Xenopus tropicalis: one gene and its partner. The protein of the gene in region 1 interacts with the protein of each later gene in a biochemical or structural test. Links are inferred from orthologs where the notes say so. Each region holds a gene or a part of one and is shown in the gene's direction. Other genes may lie near its edges. The genes, in order: foxa2 and hoxa5.

Region 1 (9,453 bases):
GGATAAGGAATAATAGTTTAGAGAGCAGGCCCATGGTGTAAGGCAGTGATCCCCAACCAGTGGATCGTGAGCAACATGTTGCTCCCCAACCCCTTGGATTGCTCCCATGGACCTCAAAGCAGGGGCTTATTTTTTAATTTCTAGTAAGGAGGCAAGTGTTGATTGCATAAAAACCAAGTATAATGCCAAACAGAGCCTTCTATAGTCTGCCAGTCCACATAGGGTCTATCAAATAGCCAATAATAGCTTTTATTGGCACACCATTTTCATGCTTGTGTTGGTCCCCAACACTTTTTCCACTTGAATGTGGCTCACAGGTATAAAAGGTTGGGGATCCCTGGTGTAAGGTTTTCTGGTGGGCACTGGCATCTCAGCCCAAGACGGTATGCCACCCATTTATGCAAATAAAGGCTTGCACCCAAATAATCACTGGCACTGTGTCAGTATTAAAAATAATTGTCTTTTATGTAAGATATGCAGTAAGATAACATTAATCCGTTTTAATACAATACATAGTTTTAATTTACAGAGTTTATAAAAAGACAATACATACACCACAAATTTGCAAACCGTAAAAAAGACACACAAGTTAGTGGTACACTTGCCAGAGATGAGAATTACCCCAACGTTTCGGCAAAGAAAGCCTTTCTCAAGGGGAATCCTTGAGATTTCATAAAAGACAATTCTTTTTATCCTACCACAGTGATTATTTGTGTGCAAGCTCTTATTTGCATAAAATACATTGATTTTTAGTACTCCATATGGGGGTATTTATTGGGCGTTTTATTTGCACAAAATCTGTATGCTTTAATTTGTGATAGAGGTGTCTGAGTGCCCTCCACTGACTTATATATTGGTATTGCCACCCTTTGCCAATGTTTGGCACTGAGACCTGGATATTAGCCTAATGACAAACAGGTGTTGGGGGGGGAGAATTGCCTACTATTCTGCAGTTGGGCAGACACAGAATTCACAGGTTTAGCTGGCTCCCTAAAAATACTTCTGTTATACTGGCCCAGGTTTACTAAACAGTGCTAAATCACAATCAAAAGATTGGGGGTTTCTCAGGGATATCCTGGTGTTGTACAAAAAAATAATAGTTCGATTTTTCATTTCAAACACTTGGATAAATACATATAAATGTGTGTGCCTCTTTTCAATGGAATGGCGGCTTTATTATCCTTTTTTATAACTGTTACTTTTTAGATTGTCTTTATAATACGCCTATTAACACTGTAAATGGGCTCTCATAGGTAACTATTTTTTATTAGTGAATAAGTCCATATTTTTTTTCATTTTTAAATTACATTTACACTTTGTGAAATATCGACCTTTAGCGGATCTGAGCCCAAGAAAAAAGACGTCTTGATCTTGCGAGAGTCCTGCCTAAAAGCAAGTGCAGTGACTTAACATTAGGGGGCGCTCTCTTACTACTTTGCTGAGATAATATCCACATCATGTCTAGCTGTTGCACTGAATTTTTTCTGCATTTCCCTGTCTTTCCTAGCCTTATATTTTTAGATTATATTCTAACTTTCTGTTGCCAGTTTATAGCTGATTTATTAATAATTAATAAGATTTGCACTTTGCAAATATTTTAATATATAACTCTATCTAGTTATCCATTATAAAAAAAAATAGAAACGTCCTAGTTGGTATCCTTATAGCTGTATTTTGGTATAAACCTAATTTATATAATTAAAGGCAGCCCCATATAGATTTGTATAAATAAATAGTGAAGTATTTGTGGCTGGTTCCTAGTTTATTATATTGCATTTGATTGTCTAGAGCTTCTGGGTGTTTTGCTGCGCTTTTATAATAAAATTATTATAGGTGTGCTTGTGAATGTGTATACATAAATATAAATTATTTTTAAATTTTAATATATAAATCTATCTAGCTATCATCTATCTATATATATATATATATATATATATATATGTGTGTGTGTGTGTACATTACACTCAGTATACATACAGTCAAAGCCTAGTATATAAACAATGTGTATTTAGACACATGCCTCCCACCTCCCTACTGTATACAGCTTGTGCGTTCTGTTTTATTTTATTATTAGTAATTTCCCCTCATTGTACAAGATTAGCTTTCTGTACATTGCAGGGCTGTTCAAACGAAAGGCAACGCTTTATTCCTCTTCAGAATTTCCTTGTTTTCCTAAGGCCCAATTTATTGACCATCCCTGAGACGATCTGCTAAATCTGCGATGATCAAACACGTTAAATAAACTTTACTTTGTTTAATATCTCAAACAGCAAACGTGCCCTCCAGAATAAATATATGTTGCAGCTCTGCTTGTGCGCTTAGTTCAGTCGGAACGGGCGGCAAATGACAGATCTCAGGCAGATGGAGCAGACACTATACAAAATACAGAACAAATCTATTTTATTATATTTTATGCAAGTGGATTATCGTCGGTTCTGGGGCAAGATTGGAAGGAATACAACAAGATCGTAGAACATTTCGTCTCTTTGAGTCGATGCTGTGGATAGGTTTTCATACTCAAATGTATTATCTGTAATAAATTTTTATTTTGGCATTTCCCTTTCCCTGGGATCTGGGTTTTTAAGGTAACTTTCTGTAAAGATTCACAGGACTTTGTATCAAATTGGAATGGAATTTTCCTGATTGTGGTGAGATTAAAAATGTAACCTTATTGCATTATCACTTTATTCTATTTCTGTTATTTATCGTTAAACCTTTACCTAATTGCACTTTCATTGGTTCTGAAATAAATCGCAACCAATTATCTTATGTGGGAGTAATAATTCTTATTTCTATTATCTGTATATGCGTCCCAGTTATTTGCCATTCATATTGATTGTGAATTCAATAAAATAAAATGGTGTATAAAATAATGTGTGTTGGGGAGTTGTATTTTGCTTTGGTATCAGTTAATAAGATATCTGCCAGTTTAGGTGACTACAGTTTCTCCCATATCCATGTAGAGGAACAAAAAAATTGGGTAATAAAGTGAGTTTGTGTCCTTCTCTCGTCCAATCCCCACTCCTCCCCTAGGGAAGTGCACAATCAGATTAAAGCTTAATGAATCTATTCAAATAGGTTTAAGGCAGGTGTAGAATAGCAGGGCCAAGGAACAGTCTGGCACTTAGGTGTGAGCTGATTATTCAAATGGGCAGGCGAAGACCTGGGGATTGGAGGTTTGCCTGGAGCTGGGTGCTATATCACCCTGCAGCAACGTCACTACTAGACTTGGAGTCATCATCATCATCCTCCTCCTCAGCAGCAGCACCCTGAGGTCTTTTTCACCCCCTGCAGCACCTCTTGCTACTTCAGTTTCCCTGAAACCCCATCCCACTCATTGAGCAGCCCCTCTGGCTGTCCATTTGTGCCCAACACTAGCCCAGCAGCAGCAGCAGCCACCTCCAGCCTTCCCCCTCCTAGTGATCAGAGAGGAAGAGGGAGGGTTCCTGGCTCCCTCACACTCTCTCTCTTTTTGTTGCTATCGCTGTCGTAGTTGTTGTGGCAGTTAAATTTTAAACTGCCAGGCACTCAGCTTCCAGTATGCTCGGGGCTGTGAAAATGGAAGGACACGAAGCCACAGACTGGAGCAGCTACTACGGGGAACCCGAGGTAAAGAGCCGCTTGTCGCTAATGGCACAATCCTTGCCTCATTCTGCCTCTTTATAGCGCACTGTTAGCCCTGGGATAATATTAACTTGGTCATCAAATATTGACTTGTGGCGCCTCCAAATCCTCCTCGATGACTGAGCCACACACTGTCCCAACAAAGTTCTGTTTGGCATGGGCAGGGGGGGCAAGGCAATGGGCACAGGCAAGGGGAATTGTATGGAAAAAAAACAGATTATACTTGTGAATTTAACTAATCACACTTTCAGGAAGAACAGTTTGTACTAAATATGGACATTTTCCTGATTTTCTCCTGGAGTTGTCTTTAGTAAGAACCCTTATACCCAAAGGGCTTCCCAAGGCTGGCTTGGGGGGAGAGGGGCTGCTATATTCCTTAAATCATTTTATTTCGTTTTTTGTTGTTTTTTTAGCATTTCTGGGTCTCTGAATATTTGACACTTTCGTTTTCTTTATTATGGAATCAACAGTAGGGTCAGAATAGCAATGTGTGGGCAGCCTTATAACTGGGCAGGTATAGAGAAACGTATAAATAAATATTTATTGATCTTTTCTAGAGGGGCTATATATATGTATGTATATTGTATTTAATATTATTTGACATGATTTAAGCCCGAGTTGTTTAACATTAACAGAAGAAAACGTTCTACGAGTTGTACATGTGTCTCTACAACCTGTGACTTCCGAGCTCTTGCTGAACTACATCTTCCAGCCTTCCACGTCTGCCTCCACGGACAGTGTGTTTCAGCCAGAGCCGGAGGGCCACAGGTTGCTGTTGATTTTGCGACTTTTAGATTGTGACCCTGTCGTTTGTTCCCAGGCTTACTCCTCGGTGGGTAACATGAACGCCGGGCTGAGCATGAACCCCATGAACACGTACATGAGCATGTCTGCTATGAGCACCTCGGCCAACATGACCGCCGGCTCCATGAACATGTCCTATGTGAATACTGGGATGAGCCCATCGCTCACCGGCATGTCTCCTGGCACCGGGGCAATGACTGGAATGGGCACCGGGGTAGCCAGTATGGCAAGTCACCTCAGCCCCAGTATGAGCCCGATGAGTGCCCAGGCTACTTCTATGAATGCCCTGGCACCCTATACCAACATGAACTCAATGAGCCCAATCTATGGACAGTCCAACATCAACAGATCCAGGGACCCCAAGACTTACAGGCGCAGTTATACGCATGCGAAGCCCCCCTACTCGTACATCTCGCTCATCACCATGGCGATCCAGCAGTCCCCCAACAAGATGCTCACTCTCAGCGAGATTTATCAGTGGATCATGGACCTGTTTCCTTTCTACAGGCAGAACCAGCAGCGCTGGCAGAACTCTATCCGCCATTCTCTTTCCTTCAATGACTGTTTTCTCAAGGTGCCCAGGTCCCCTGACAAGCCCGGAAAGGGCTCCTTCTGGACCCTACACCCCGATTCGGGCAACATGTTTGAGAATGGCTGTTACCTGAGGCGACAGAAACGCTTCAAGTGCGAGAAAAAGCCCAGCCTTAGAGAAGGGGGAGGCAAGAAACTCTCAGAAGGGTCATCGAGTGTGGGCTCTGCAGCCAACAGCAGCTCTGAGAGCTCAGTGGGCAATGAGTCCCCGCACTCCAGCTCGTCCCCCTGCCAGGAGCAGAAGAGGTCTCTAGTAGATATGAAGTCCAGCCAAGGCTTAAGCCCAGACCATGCAGCCTCCCCAGCCTCCCAAGCCCAGCACTTGCTTTCCCAGCACCACTCTGTCTTGTCCCATGAAGCCCAGTCCCACCTCAAACCAGAACACCATTATTCTTTCAACCACCCATTCTCCATCAACAACCTCATGTCCTCAGAGCAACAGCACCACCATCACCACCACCACAACCACCATCATCACCATAAAATGGACTTAAAAGCTTATGAACAGGTGATGCACTACTCTGGTTACGGGTCCCCCATGACTGGCAGCCTGGCAATGAGCACAGTAACAAACAAAAGTGGCTTAGAGTCTTCACCTATTTCCAGTGACACCTCATACTATCAAGGTGTGTATTCTAGACCTATCATGAACTCCTCATAGACTTTCTACCATGGACTTGTCACCTGGGCTCTGTGTATATAATATTAAGAAGAAAAACAACATAGTATGTGTCTACATTCCTATTGAATTGTACAGTCCCCCGAGTTTGTTTCTGTATAGGAGCTTAGCTTGTTAAGCTATGTTTGATTTGGGTGCTTTTCTTTGGCAAGGAGTATATTTTTGTGAAAGTGACGGATCCTAATTTTTCTGTGTGAAATCTGTTAATTTTCCCTAAGGACCAAAATTGTGTGATATTGGTAATGTTAAAAAAAACAGAAACGGAATATATTGATGTAATTGAAAAAAAAGATGTTTTTTTTTTTTATTTGTTTGGGGGAGATGCTTGAAACTGGTTAATTTATGGTTTCTGTATGTTTTATTTATGACTGCTGTATGTATTCTGGCCATAACCGGCCGGTTTAACAATCTCTATTAAAAAATGAATTGGCATTTCTGTCGGGATTTTTCTTTCCACCTCTATACACATATTTTTGTGGCTGAAGGTGAATCAGATAAGTGAGCACAAGCCAAGGTCTGGACTGTACCAAGGTGGGATACAGGGAGGCTGAAGGGTTCTGCTCTGCTGACACTTCCCTTCAATTTCTCACAAGTCCATGAAAGTTCTGCCACAATGGGATTAGATAAAGGATCCATTGTATTGGGGGGGTTTAGTTCACAGGCAAGTTTTATAACGAATTTTTATGTAACGAATTTCCATGGTACTAGAGTGCATGAAATACTACTACTGTTACTAATAATAATAATAAAGATTCGTTACTGTATAGTCGGCTGATTTTAAAGTGACCTATTCCCTCTTACTAATATCATGTGTGCATGCCAGTGAGACCTTTATTCGGCTGAGTAGAGAGAAAATTAAGGGAGAAAAACATACCTGATAATATTCAAAATCTTTTCTTTTTTATACATATAAATGCTTAAATATTTGCCATAACACAGTAGATTCCCGACGGCGACTTTTAAGAAAGCCAGCTGCGCTCCAACCCTAATTCTTATGGTTATTTTATACATTAAATACAATAAAACGATTTTTTTTATTTAACAAATGAAAGCCAATGTCTAAGCACATTTAAACACAACAAATAAACACAACATAAAAACTAGAAGTGTGTGGGCAGGACTGGCAGCAGTCACCGGTATCAAACTAGACTTTGGCAATGTATTAAGTGGGAGCGGCCAATGATAAATTAAACAGGTGTGCCGACTTATAGGTGTTGGCCATTTGTTATTTTATATCCTATCTAAAACCATGTTATTCCCTGCTACACCAGATTTAGATAATGTGTGCAACATTATTCTCTCCATATTCTACATGTATTTATTATTGTATTATTTCCTGTCTTTTTCTGGGTCTATGTGTGTGTGTGTATATATATATATGTGTGTGTGTGTGTGTGTGTGTTTGTGTATATATATATATATGTGTGTGTGTGTGTGTGTATATATTTACTGTAGGTCACCATATCCTGGGTTTTAGGAGTAAAAGTTGGTTAAAACCAATATACATATAAACTAGGCCTCTCAGATCAGCATTTTCCCAGGGCAGTATATTGTGTCCAGAGAACTGGAAAAATGCCGCTATGTAAATATGTTTATGTGTGTAGTTTAGAGAGAGTTTATAACCCAGAGAGAGGGAAATGCTAGGAACCAGCCACCTGCCCAGATATGTGTCCCTGGGAATAGGGAAAGCTGGAATATCCAGTCTGTGCAAGTCTCCCTGCTCTGGGAAAGCCAAGGGAGTCCATAAGGAAAGTCAGGAAAAATCAGGAGCAGAAAAACACTGTAGAGTCATTTTTCCCACACGATCAGGGCCTGATAGATAGTGGTAGGAAAATAACATTCAAATCCTTCTTAATATCCACATTGTTGGGGGTTAAACAGCTCGGATCCCGGCAGAGCCCTCCAGTCCCCACACTGGCAGGACACACACGTTGAGAAGGGAGCAGAAATGTGTTTCATTAGCACATAAAGGCTCCCCGCTGGGAAGGAGAATGGGAGCAAAGAATAGCGCTGATTTGGGAACAATTGCCCTTTCAGTGTGATGCTCTAACCTGTTATGTTCCCTATCACTTCCCTATTGTTCTGCGGTCATTTTAAACTACTTAGCGTGTCCTGCCCCACTGATCCCTGCAGATAACATGGAGTTGTGCCCCGATACATAAAAACGATGCGATTGCCGCTGTGTCAGCCTGTCAGCCCCAGTGCAGCCTGCGGAACGTTCTCCTGGCTCCGCACTCGGCCCCTCTCTGCCGCCCAGGCTCCGCGGGTTGCGCTTTTTGTACAAAAAAAAGGTGGGGGTTTGTGCAACTAGTACATTTATTTTCCAAGCGCTTTGCTGGTTTAAGCGAGCGTGAGCTGTGAATAAACAAAGTCAGTAAACAAGAAAAAAATCGCCAGCAGATTCCAGGAGGGTAAACTTTCAGCAGCAGCGACAGCGGCAGCACGTCACTCTTTAGCAAATTGACTCACTTATTATATTCCCTTTCCTGCGCTCCGCACTCATTCTGCCACCCAGATTTTATAAAGCTGATCAATATCTCCCCTCTGAAATGTTCTTTGTTTTCCCAATAGCGAAATCTTTGCTTTGTGTTAGAGTCAACAGTGACTTAGATCTTCTATAAATTCGGCGAAACTTCCGCCTCTATTCAGCAGCTGGGGAAGTCATGCTCGGAGCTACCGGGAGCGGCTGCAGGTAGGGGAAAACTGCTAAGTGCCTGTAGGGGAAAACTGCTAAGTGCCTGTTGGGGAAAACTGCTAAGTGCCTGTAGGGGAAAACTGCTAAGTGCCTGTAGGGGAAAACTGCTAAGTGTCTATGGGGCAGCCCTGCAACTGGAACTTTATTTCTGCAGGGAAAACTGCTAAGTGTCTGTAGGGAAAACTGCTAAGTGCCTGTATGGAAAACTGCTAAGTGTCTATGGGGCAGCCCTGCAACTGGAATATTATCTCTGCAGGGAAAACTAGTGCCTGTAGGGCAGCCCTGCAACTGGAACTTTATTTCTGCAGGGAAAACTGCTAAGTGCCTGTAAGGCAGCCCTGCAACTGGAATATTATCTCTACAGGGAAAACTAGTGCCTGTAGGGCATCCCTGCAACTGGAACTTTATTTCTGCAGGGAAAACTGCTAAGTGTCTGTAGGGCAGCCCTGCAACTGGAACTTTATCTCTGCAGGTAGAACTGCTAAGTGCCTGTAGGGAAGGTTCCATCCAGTGTCACACTGTCTTAGCAGTTATTTCACTGTTAAATAGAACGAATGAAATGATGTCAAGTGGATTTGCAGATTCATTTTGTACTATTTCTTATTTGTCAAAAGCATACTCTATTTCTAGCGTAAGCCCTCCTAATATTTAAAAATTGGCATTGTTTTCTTTTTTTCAACTTTTACTTTAAATTCTTACAACATTATATGCAGTGTAAGGAGTGGTGCTTTCTCCTAGTTCGATTATTATGTCTGTAATTAATAAACTTCCAAGCAGTTGGTTTAAATAACCAATTAGTATAGTAAATAGCAAATTTTATAACTGATCCGGACGACCAATTATATGTAAATGTATATAACTGAGCAACCGACATGTATCTGTAATAATTCACTAACAATTCCCATCTTTTCCAGTTCTTCCCTTATGACTTTTAATGAACATCGAAATATTCCTTCTTTTATGCTAGGTATGTTTTGTTAATCCACGATTTCATCAAATTCCTTCTGTTAGTAAAGCTGAATGATTTCCCCCAGCGCCCACCCAGAGACCATTGCTAATG
Region 2 (9,603 bases), on another chromosome or scaffold:
TTATCTGCCTGTCTTTCTGTGTCTATCTATCTATCGTCATCTATCTATCTATCTATCTAGTAATCTCTGTCCCCACACACAAGTATATAATAGGAATATAAAAAAAAAATGTAGCTTCAGCAGAATGGGGAAACCAATACAAACTTGATTTTAATGCCTTCAATAATGTGTGTGTGTGTATATATATATATATATATATATATATATATATATATATATATATATATATAATGGTTTTACAGGAATGCTGAATTAATAGAATTAATAGATTATACTAATTAGTTTTATTTAAATTAGTTTAAGGCAACACACACAGATAGACAGACAGATAGATAGATAGATAGATAGATAGATAGATAGATAGACAGACAGACAGACAGACAGACAGATAGATAGATAGATAGATAGATAGATAGATATAGATAGATAGATAGATGATAGATAGATAGATAGATAGATAGATATAGATAGATATAGATAGATAGATGATAGATAGATAGATGATAGATAGATAGATAGATAGATAGATAGATAGATAGATAGATAGATAGACTTGCATGCAAATATAATACGCCCAGGTTGCTATTGCAATATTATACCGTTTAGATATTTTTGCCCTTTTCTTTTGCATCTGGTTGCATTATGCATTGTTTCAGACCCATTTAGATTGCTAGATCTGTGGGCAGGGACCTCCTTCCTCCAGTTTATGGCACTTAATCTTTGTAATCGTGTGTATTTTTACTTTTTGTACTGTTTGTTTTTTCTTGTCCTTTCTATGAATGCCTTGCGAAATATACTATGCTGAATAGAGAAGCAGCGCTATATAAATAAAAACAAACATGTATATATGAGGTCTGGCTTATTTATTCCCTTTCTAGGTCCCTGTGGCCGGTGTGGCAATGCATTCCATACACTAGCTGACTGTAATTAGTTTAATCATGCACTGCTAATAAATTGCCTGCGTCTCCAGTTGAGGATCACCCTAGGGGTGAACACTTTTGCACATTTTAAACGGACAATAACTTGAATTTGTGGCTAATAGAAATGTATTTTATTTTTTTTTGCAAAATCGCTCCTCTAGTTTGTAAACAAGATCCTTCCCAAGTGCCCTCCCTGCAATGGGAACAGTACATGATTGGTACATGGATGTGCTGGGAAGCTGCGTGCAATTTGGAAGTTTGCTGGCTCAGACCCCAGTCCCAGGGGAGCGCCACAATCGCATCTTCCTATTGGCTAGTGAGGGATCAGCTGCTCAGATTTGCCTCTGTCGCTTTTGGCTCTCGGCCATCCAGAAACAAACCAGTTGGATGAGTGCTAATAGTTATAGGCAGATGTACTAATACACAACAAATCACGGAACTGGAGAGTGAGAGCAAATGAGTTCGTACTTTGTGAATAGCACTTTCCCTGGGACTCTGCCCAATGGACAAGAGGCGTTTGTGGGGCAGATCCCCCTCTACTCATCTGGCTATGAAGCTTTAAGGCATTTTCCGGGCGCTTATGGGTCACCTCCTGTGCAGGACAAGCCCTACCCCTCACCCTGTTTCTACCAGCAGTCCAACACCCTTATTGCCTGCAATGGAAACTCTTATGAGTATGGGGCATCCTGCTTCTACTCGGGCAAGGAGAGCAGCGGCAGCCCGTCCTCATATGGGACTAAACACAGAGGGGACAGTGGGGAATATCTACATTTCTCCGCCGATCAGCAGCAATATAAATCTGCCAGTGCCCAAGGCAAGATGCTACATGAGGAACCCACCGACCGGAAGTACAGCAGCCCTGTCTATCCCTGGATGCAGAGGGTCAACTCTTGTACTGGTGAGTCCCTGCCTGTGCTACACTCCATACACATTGGTAACAATAATATAGGGAAATACCGAGACAAAGTGGAACAGGGACCCCAACACCTGATCCTTTATCAATCTGCTTCAAACACACTGACAGCCAATGGAAGTTCAGCACTAAAATGCTCTGCACTTGCATTGATTCTATAGTGTATCCGCTTTTAAAGAAAAGGGAAATAGTTATATTACATTTAATAAGAATCCCAATACAGTGGCGCTGCAAGAGTGGCACAAAACCACGTGGGTATTTTTTGCCACCAAAAAAAAAAAAAAAACTGGCAAAGATGTGTCATTTATTAGTTACTGGTTGCAATGGTACATGTAATACATGCAAAATATGCTTGCTGTATATTAGCATTGTATAGGAAATTAATTCATGGTACATACACGAAAAATACGCTGGCAAGTATAAATATATATATTTCTATATCGGTATAATATATATTGATTTTGCGAATTTGACACATACCCAGAGGCAAGTAGTTCATTTCTATTTATAAGGTGGGATGTAGGTGGATTTCTTAAAAAGGGATGTGTTAATATCTATAGTTACATAGAGAAATGTATTGCTAATTGCTGTGTATGTGTGATTTAAAGTGAAGGAGGCAGGATATTTTCTGTGTCGGTAGCTGACATGCCTATATTCCTTTATTCCAGGTCCAGTGTATGGTGCCCATGGCAGGAGAGGGAGGCAGACCTACACCAGGTTCCAGACTTTAGAACTAGAGAAAGAATTTCATTTTAACAGATACCTGACTAGGAGGAGAAGGATTGAAATTGCTAATGCCCTTTGCCTCACGGAAAGACAGATCAAAATATGGTTTCAAAACAGAAGGATGAAATGGAAGAAAGAAAGCAAACTCCTGCTCCCATCCCACCCCAGCGACGACCCCTCAGAAGGCAAACAGGAGGAGAAAAGCACCACCTAAAGACACGTGTCGGGCCTCCTTCTATTCAGTCTGGATCTCGGATGCCCTTTTATATATATGACAGATATAAATAAGAATTCATCATTGCGCTATTTATACACAGAAGCTGGGAAATTCCATATACTGACGCTCACTAGTTAATAAAAATATGTGCGTGTATATATATATATATATATTTATATATATACATACACACACTCACGCTACAGCTAAATAGTTTTGTGTTAGAGCAAAGGCTGTATTTTTCATTTTCGGTGAGCAGCCTGACTCTAATTTTGCCAGCTACACTCCCCTATGCAGGGGTCTGCGCCATATCTATTATATTTGACTTGCTGCTGCAATGCCCATAGTCGTATAGTGGCACTTAACATGGGGAAGACAAAAGAAAAAAAAAAACAACGGAAATCCTAATTTCCTTTCCATTGCCCGAAACAATGTGAATATCAGCTCTTTCTTTGTAAAATGCAACCGAACAGTCGCAGACAAAGGTTTCCAGTGCTGCGCTTGGTGATTTCTTAAATACCAGGATCTTCATTTTCACTGTACAAGAAACTAGAAATCTTATCCCTCCCTGCAAATTCGTTTCTCTCCTTTATATGGAATATTGCGGCGATGTACAGTTCTCCTGGGGAAGCGCAGAAAGGCAGTTTTGGGTGAGACTGCAACAACCTGGCTCCTAGCAATATTTACTCCATTCATTTTATTGTACAACTGTATGGGATTAATTGGGGGGGGGGGGGGGGTAACGGGACGGTGAAAGGTGCTGGCGCTTTTCAGGGACAAGGCAGAGAAAAAAGAATTACTACTAAGTATGATTATTACATATATATACATACATAAATGTATATTACAGCGATCGTTTAAAACATTGTTTTTCCGTGAATTAAAACAATGTTTCAAAAGACAATAGAGCCGAACTGCCACTGCTTGTTCCCCGTCATAAATGGCTCTGATCAGTGGCAGATAATATTGACCTGGGCGCTATTCACAGACGCAATGACTGACAAAGAGGCACAAAATAATGTAGTAATATCACAAATAAAAATGACCAAAAAAGTGAATTTTGAATGGGTTTGAAACAAAACCTCTTTGTGCATTTCCCCCGCTATTAATGCGCCGGATTGTGCCTGTGAGCCGGTACATTTGGTATTCACTAATGGAGCTGTGAGGGGAATGTAATAATTTTCCTGTAATGGGATGTAACCTTAATTCGACCCCGGCCCTGCAGTCCCTTCTTTGCTGGCCGGGGAGACTGTAATGACAGTTCGGCAGCCAGAAGGTGGCGCAAGAGGCTGCTCAAAAGCTTCCAGCTCTACACGGGGCCGCGCACAAACGCTCGCTCCCTTAGCAGCCTCCCTGCTCCCCCACTAGTACACCAGTTTACCTCTAGAGGTCATCAGGCAGGATTTACGACTGGACAACAAAAGCACGTGATTCCAAGTCGTACCCCATATTTGGGTGCCTACGTAGGAGGGAACCAAGTACATGTCCCAGTCATTTCCATAATTCATCATAAATTGTGCAAGGGTGCTATAGACGCGCAAAACGACCAAGAGCCACAAATCAAGCACACATATCAAAAAACAAATGAGCTCTTATTTTGTAAACTCATTTTGCGGTCGCTATCCAAATGGCCCGGACTACCAGTTACATAATTATGGAGATCACAGCTCGGTGAACGAGCAATACAGGGATACAACGAGCATGCATTCCAGCAGGTACGGATACGGCTACAATGGCATGGATCTCAGCGTTGGGCGCTCAGCTTCCAACCACTTTAGTGCCAATGACAGAGCAAGGAATTATCCATCCAATCCGAGCTCCTCTACAGAGCCAAGGTATAACCAACCTGCAGCGTCTGCTCACTCTCCTCCACCTGACCCTCTGCCCTGCACCGCTGTAGCCACATCGCCTGTCAGCGACAGTCACCAAGGGGGCAAAAACTCCATAACTAACTCCAACAACACCACGTCCAATTCAAGCAACAGCAGCACTGGCACCAGCACTCACATTAACAGAGATGGGCTGGGTGCATCTTCTGGTGCTGAGGATGATGCCCCAGCAAGCAGCGACCAGGCAAGTTCTCAGAACAGCCAAAGCCCAGCTCCGTCAGTGCAACCCCAAATCTACCCCTGGATGCGAAAACTGCACATAAGCCATGGTAAATACGCCTCCTATCTCTTATCTATATATATATTTTTTAAATGAAAAAAAAAATTAAACAGCAGAAGGAATAGGGTCCAACTTTTGATGCCTTAGCCTGTCTAGACTAGAATTACTGCTACAAAACATTTCAGGCATATTAGGAAATTGGCAGCTGCATTTTATTGGTGTCACATCTGATCTGAAAAGAACACTTTCATTTTAGCACCATCACAACTTCATGATGTATTTCAACTTTTAAATATAATTAAAAAAAACAACAGGATATTTGGTTTCAATGCCTTGGGCAATGAACACCTGTAAGGGCCGCCCAAAAATACAGAGGGAGAATAAATATGTTTTTCTCTCTAAATCTATATGAAAGTGGGAAGTAAAAGCTTAATATTTTGTAAAAATTGGGTCGGTCAGATGAGGATTGTTGGGAGAGATGCAGAAAGTAGAGGTTATCATAAAGTGTTGGATTTTCTCCCCTTGTGAGTGGGTACCATACTCAGGCACTGAGAGCCCAGTGAGAGCCCAGTGTAGGTCTGAGCACCGTTAGAAAGATGTTCCTTTGCTCTAACTCATGTTGTGTCCCTCTTGCAGACAACATAGGAGGGCCAGAAGGAAAGCGAGCCCGGACAGCCTACACCCGCTACCAAACTCTGGAGCTGGAAAAGGAATTTCATTTCAACAGATACCTGACCCGCAGGAGGAGGATTGAAATAGCCCATGCACTCTGTCTCTCTGAGAGGCAAATTAAAATCTGGTTCCAAAACAGGAGAATGAAGTGGAAAAAAGACAATAAACTAAAGAGTATGAGCATGGCAGCGGCTGGGGGTGCATTTCGTCCTTAAATTTCCCCTCCCTAAAGAATGTACTGATTCAGTATTAGCTAAACCTGTATATTGTCACCACCACTTTGTATAACTCTTCTCTGTGACTTCTGTGAAGATACCCTCCTCCCTAATATCTTGTCTACCCTTTATCCTAGCAATGAGCCTTTAAACTGGGTGAAATAGCTTCAACTGCTTCCTGTAAATGTTTTGTCCTTGGATGCCTATGTATTGACAATTTAATGTTTTAACTTATTTGAGTATGTAAAGCGCTTATGTGTTACTTGAAATAACTGTACAAAAATGAGATTACGACAGCAAACGTTTATTACAGATGTTTTGTGTCTGCAGACCCCTGTATATGTTCGTGTAGTGTGACCATGTCTGAATGCCTTCCAACTGTCTCCCACAATTTCATGAAACTACCTAGAGTTCCTGTGAAAAATAACTATGTTGTAGAAGTGACTTTGCGGTCCAATTTATCTTGTGATATTGTCTAAGTAGCTGTGACACAAATTGTGTCTGTCCTAGCTGTGCCTTTTGTAATGAGAAAAAAAAAACACAACAAGAAAAAAAGGAAAAAAAAAACGTTTGCACGAAACTTTACTGAAAATGGCTGGAATCGCAGCGTCTGGTTAATGTGTTTTGTTTTATAAATTCAATAATATAGTGGAGCTTGGCAGATTACGCAATTGTTCCAATTTTTTTGTAAAAAAAAAATTTTTTTTTCAAGAAAAATTATGACTGGAAACAACAACAAAAAAAATAAACTTTCTACTGAAGATCTTTGTTGTGCTTGTATTGAGAAGTGCATGGTTTTTAGGGATGTGAGTGTTTTGATTGATGGAAAAACGCTCTGCTATGTGAATCACTGGTTGTTGAGAATAACACTTCATCAGGACAATCTATAATCTATGTACAATGATCAATGAGTAAAAATATTAGCATAGCATAGGCCCTAGGCACATTAACAGGTCCTTTAAACTGTACACAGTGTTAAGCACTTTATTTACTCTCACTCCAACACTTCATGTAAAATGGCTCCTGGAAAATAAAGTTCTTTTCTTAAATAGAAAATGATATTTTTACGCTCCCAGTACTGCCCTGATTACATAACAGATCCCTAAGCACCTCAAGCCTTTCAAAATGGACTTACCTCTCATTAGCTTGGAGAGCTAACTCTTCTCAGGCTGTAATGGCAATGAAAGGGATCCCCCTTCTAACTGCTTACCCTCTTGCCTTCTTAAGTTATATAACAGTAAACTTTATAAGCTCTAGTTCCGGCTATGTGACATTTGCTTGCCAAATGAATAGGGTTTTGTCTATGAATTACATCGTAAAATCCTCCATAGCACAGACAGATAGGCTCACTGGCTATAAAAAGTCACGTGGGGCTATTAAAGTAAGTTTTATGGTTTTAGGGAGTAGACGACCAACATTATATAGTACATATCATATAATCTCACTGATGCTGGACATCATTTGGCTTTTAGCAGGACACGTAAGGCTTGCAGGCAGTTACCTATTTAATTAGCAGCCGCCTTGCCCAGAATCAAGATTCTTGCTGCTTACAAAGTTAAGGTAAGTGTAGTATCCATAATTATTTTTATATTGCTGAGAGGGAATACTAGCTAAATAGTAACGTTAAAAGATTGGCCCATGGATCCTACGAGCTAAATATTTTTTTTTCTTTTTTTCATACCTCTTAAATAGGGTAACTGCATTGCTGTCTGTTGGGTATAGAGTTACAGAAATTCCCAGCTACAGTTGTAGCCAAATGTTAATTACCTTGTTACTTTGGCGGGGCTCTAATTGTATTTATTTTATGACTTTTGATATCTAGTTAGCTATGGTTTATATGGTAGATATTAGTTACATGGTAGATAAGAAATGCTTAGTAAGCAGATGCTGGAAAGAAAATACCTTGGCCGGGTTCAAATGTATCTCAGAGTATCACTACTTACCTTCCTTGGTTCATTGCAAACACACGAACAGTCACAAGGTTTCAAAGTGAAAGTAGACTATTTCCACGCAGCTTAGTTGTTTGGGAAAAAACTCCAGAGTCCCCTTAAGATATATGCTAGGGTTTGTACATTTCTGGGCTGGGAAGGAATTTGGATAGGCCCCAGCTGTCTGTTTACTGCAACATTCTTTTAAGTCAATAGTGAGTTCACACTGCAGTGTGATTAGTCAGCAATGAACTTTATGGCCAGAATTAACTGTAGCCTTTTGAGTTAAGTTGCTATATTTGGGGGTGATAAGAAAAGCATCTTCATTTGGGCAGATTTGAAGAGAAAGTGTTTGGCAACCTTTTTATTCACAAGCCTGATTTTTCCACACGGCTGTATCATCTCACATCTTGAACTTTACCAAAGGTATATATTTATGTATGTATTTGGGTGTTTTGAGTCTGAGTGGCATGAAATAAGAGGGATTGTTAGCCTTATTGTAAGCATGAATTCAACCATGTCTTAGCTTTATGGCTGGTAGGCAATGGGAACATTTGGTAACTGAGGGATTTCCGCCTTCCTGAAAACCTTTCGCACTAAACATTCACATTAGCATAAAATATGGCCCCAATAAAACTTATCAATAGACCCTGCAGTTGTTGTTTTGGTTGTTTTTGTATTGCCACATTTTATGCTTTTGTGGTCTGTGAGATAAGACGTGAGAGAAGATCCATTTATCATTCTTGTTTGTGCTCTGCACTTTTAAAATCCCTGACACAAACGTATGTATATGTATAGTTGTAATTTATATAAAGTTCTTTCCTAAAGTATAACATTCAAAAATCGCAGTGAATCATAAGAATTCTGTTTCTTTCTATGTAACATCTATATATATATATATACACATATCCGTTTTCTCTTATCTATTTTCTATCAATAATTATCTATCTATCTATCTATCATTCATCTATCTTTATGATAAGTCTGCACTTAACTTATCTTACTAGGTTTTCTAATTTCACACACACACACACACACACACACACACACACACAAACACACACACAAACACACATATGTGTATTTATTTGTAGAGATCTTTTAAAATGTCGAAACACATTTCAGTCTAAACGCGTATTGTGTAGTAACTAGATAACTACAATTTAACTTTTACAAGATACTTTGATGTGTTCACATGTTCTTGCTATCTACAGATGGAGTCTATCTATTTTTGTCATCTACAATCTATCCATGTGTCCATTCTATTATATTATCTATCTATCTATCTATCTATCATCTATCTATCCGTCTCTATCATCTGTTGAACTATTGTCTATTTAGCCATCTAAACCTAACCATTCCTTGGTCTTTTACATATAGATTTACCAGTTAAAAAGAAGTAAAGCTATTTGGTGTGTGAGGTTTGGGTTACAGAGTGCATTTATTGCCTTTGCTGTGTTATGTTGACGTAACATTTGTGTTACATTTTACGACCCGTTACTTTGATATTTGTTGCAGCTCATAAATATGTTTTATGGTTTTGTAATATAATGTATCTGAAAATGCCACAGACTTGCCTTGTATCTAGCAGTTTTCAGTGTTTAGTGCCTGTTACATTGTCTTTTATTGTTGCCTGTACTTATAAGTTTATACCTACAAAAACACATAATTTCATTTTCATAATGTCATTTTCATTTCACCTATGATTGTACAAACAGTTAACTTGAGATCTTCAGTTCACCACCAACCTAAGCAGATTTCATATAACCGTTTATCGACACACATACACACATGCATCCACAAACAGACACACGCATGTGTTCCACATTCAAACTGACCAAAGCTTATTTACTGTGTGTGACAGTTCCATACCATACACTAACACAAAGCCCTGAATAGTGGC

What was found.
Region 2: the proteins of foxa2 (region 1) and hoxa5 form a complex in vitro, tested with the Homo sapiens proteins (2 studies listed by BioGRID). The link is inferred for Xenopus tropicalis from reciprocal best matches to the Homo sapiens genes FOXA2 and HOXA5.

The regions. Positions count from the first base shown.
Region 1 is NC_030681.2:35,621,897-35,631,349, forward strand, and holds foxa2 (forkhead box protein A2), read left to right. Parts: upstream 1-3,510; 5' UTR 3,511-3,540; coding exon 3,541-3,609; intron 3,610-4,444; coding exon 4,445-5,680; 3' UTR 5,681-6,130; downstream 6,131-9,453. UniProt on the Homo sapiens protein: Transcription factor that is involved in embryonic development, establishment of tissue-specific gene expression and regulation of gene expression in differentiated tissues.
Region 2 is NC_030682.2:42,179,632-42,189,234, reverse strand, and holds hoxa5 (homeobox protein Hox-A5), read left to right. Parts: upstream 1-4,300; 5' UTR 4,301-4,360; coding exon 4,361-4,934; intron 4,935-5,521; coding exon 5,522-5,772; 3' UTR 5,773-6,533; downstream 6,534-9,603. Other genes in the region: hoxa6 (homeobox protein Hox-A6), read left to right, coding at 1,377-1,818, 2,502-2,773. UniProt on the Homo sapiens protein: Sequence-specific transcription factor which is part of a developmental regulatory system that provides cells with specific positional identities on the anterior-posterior axis. Also binds to its own promoter.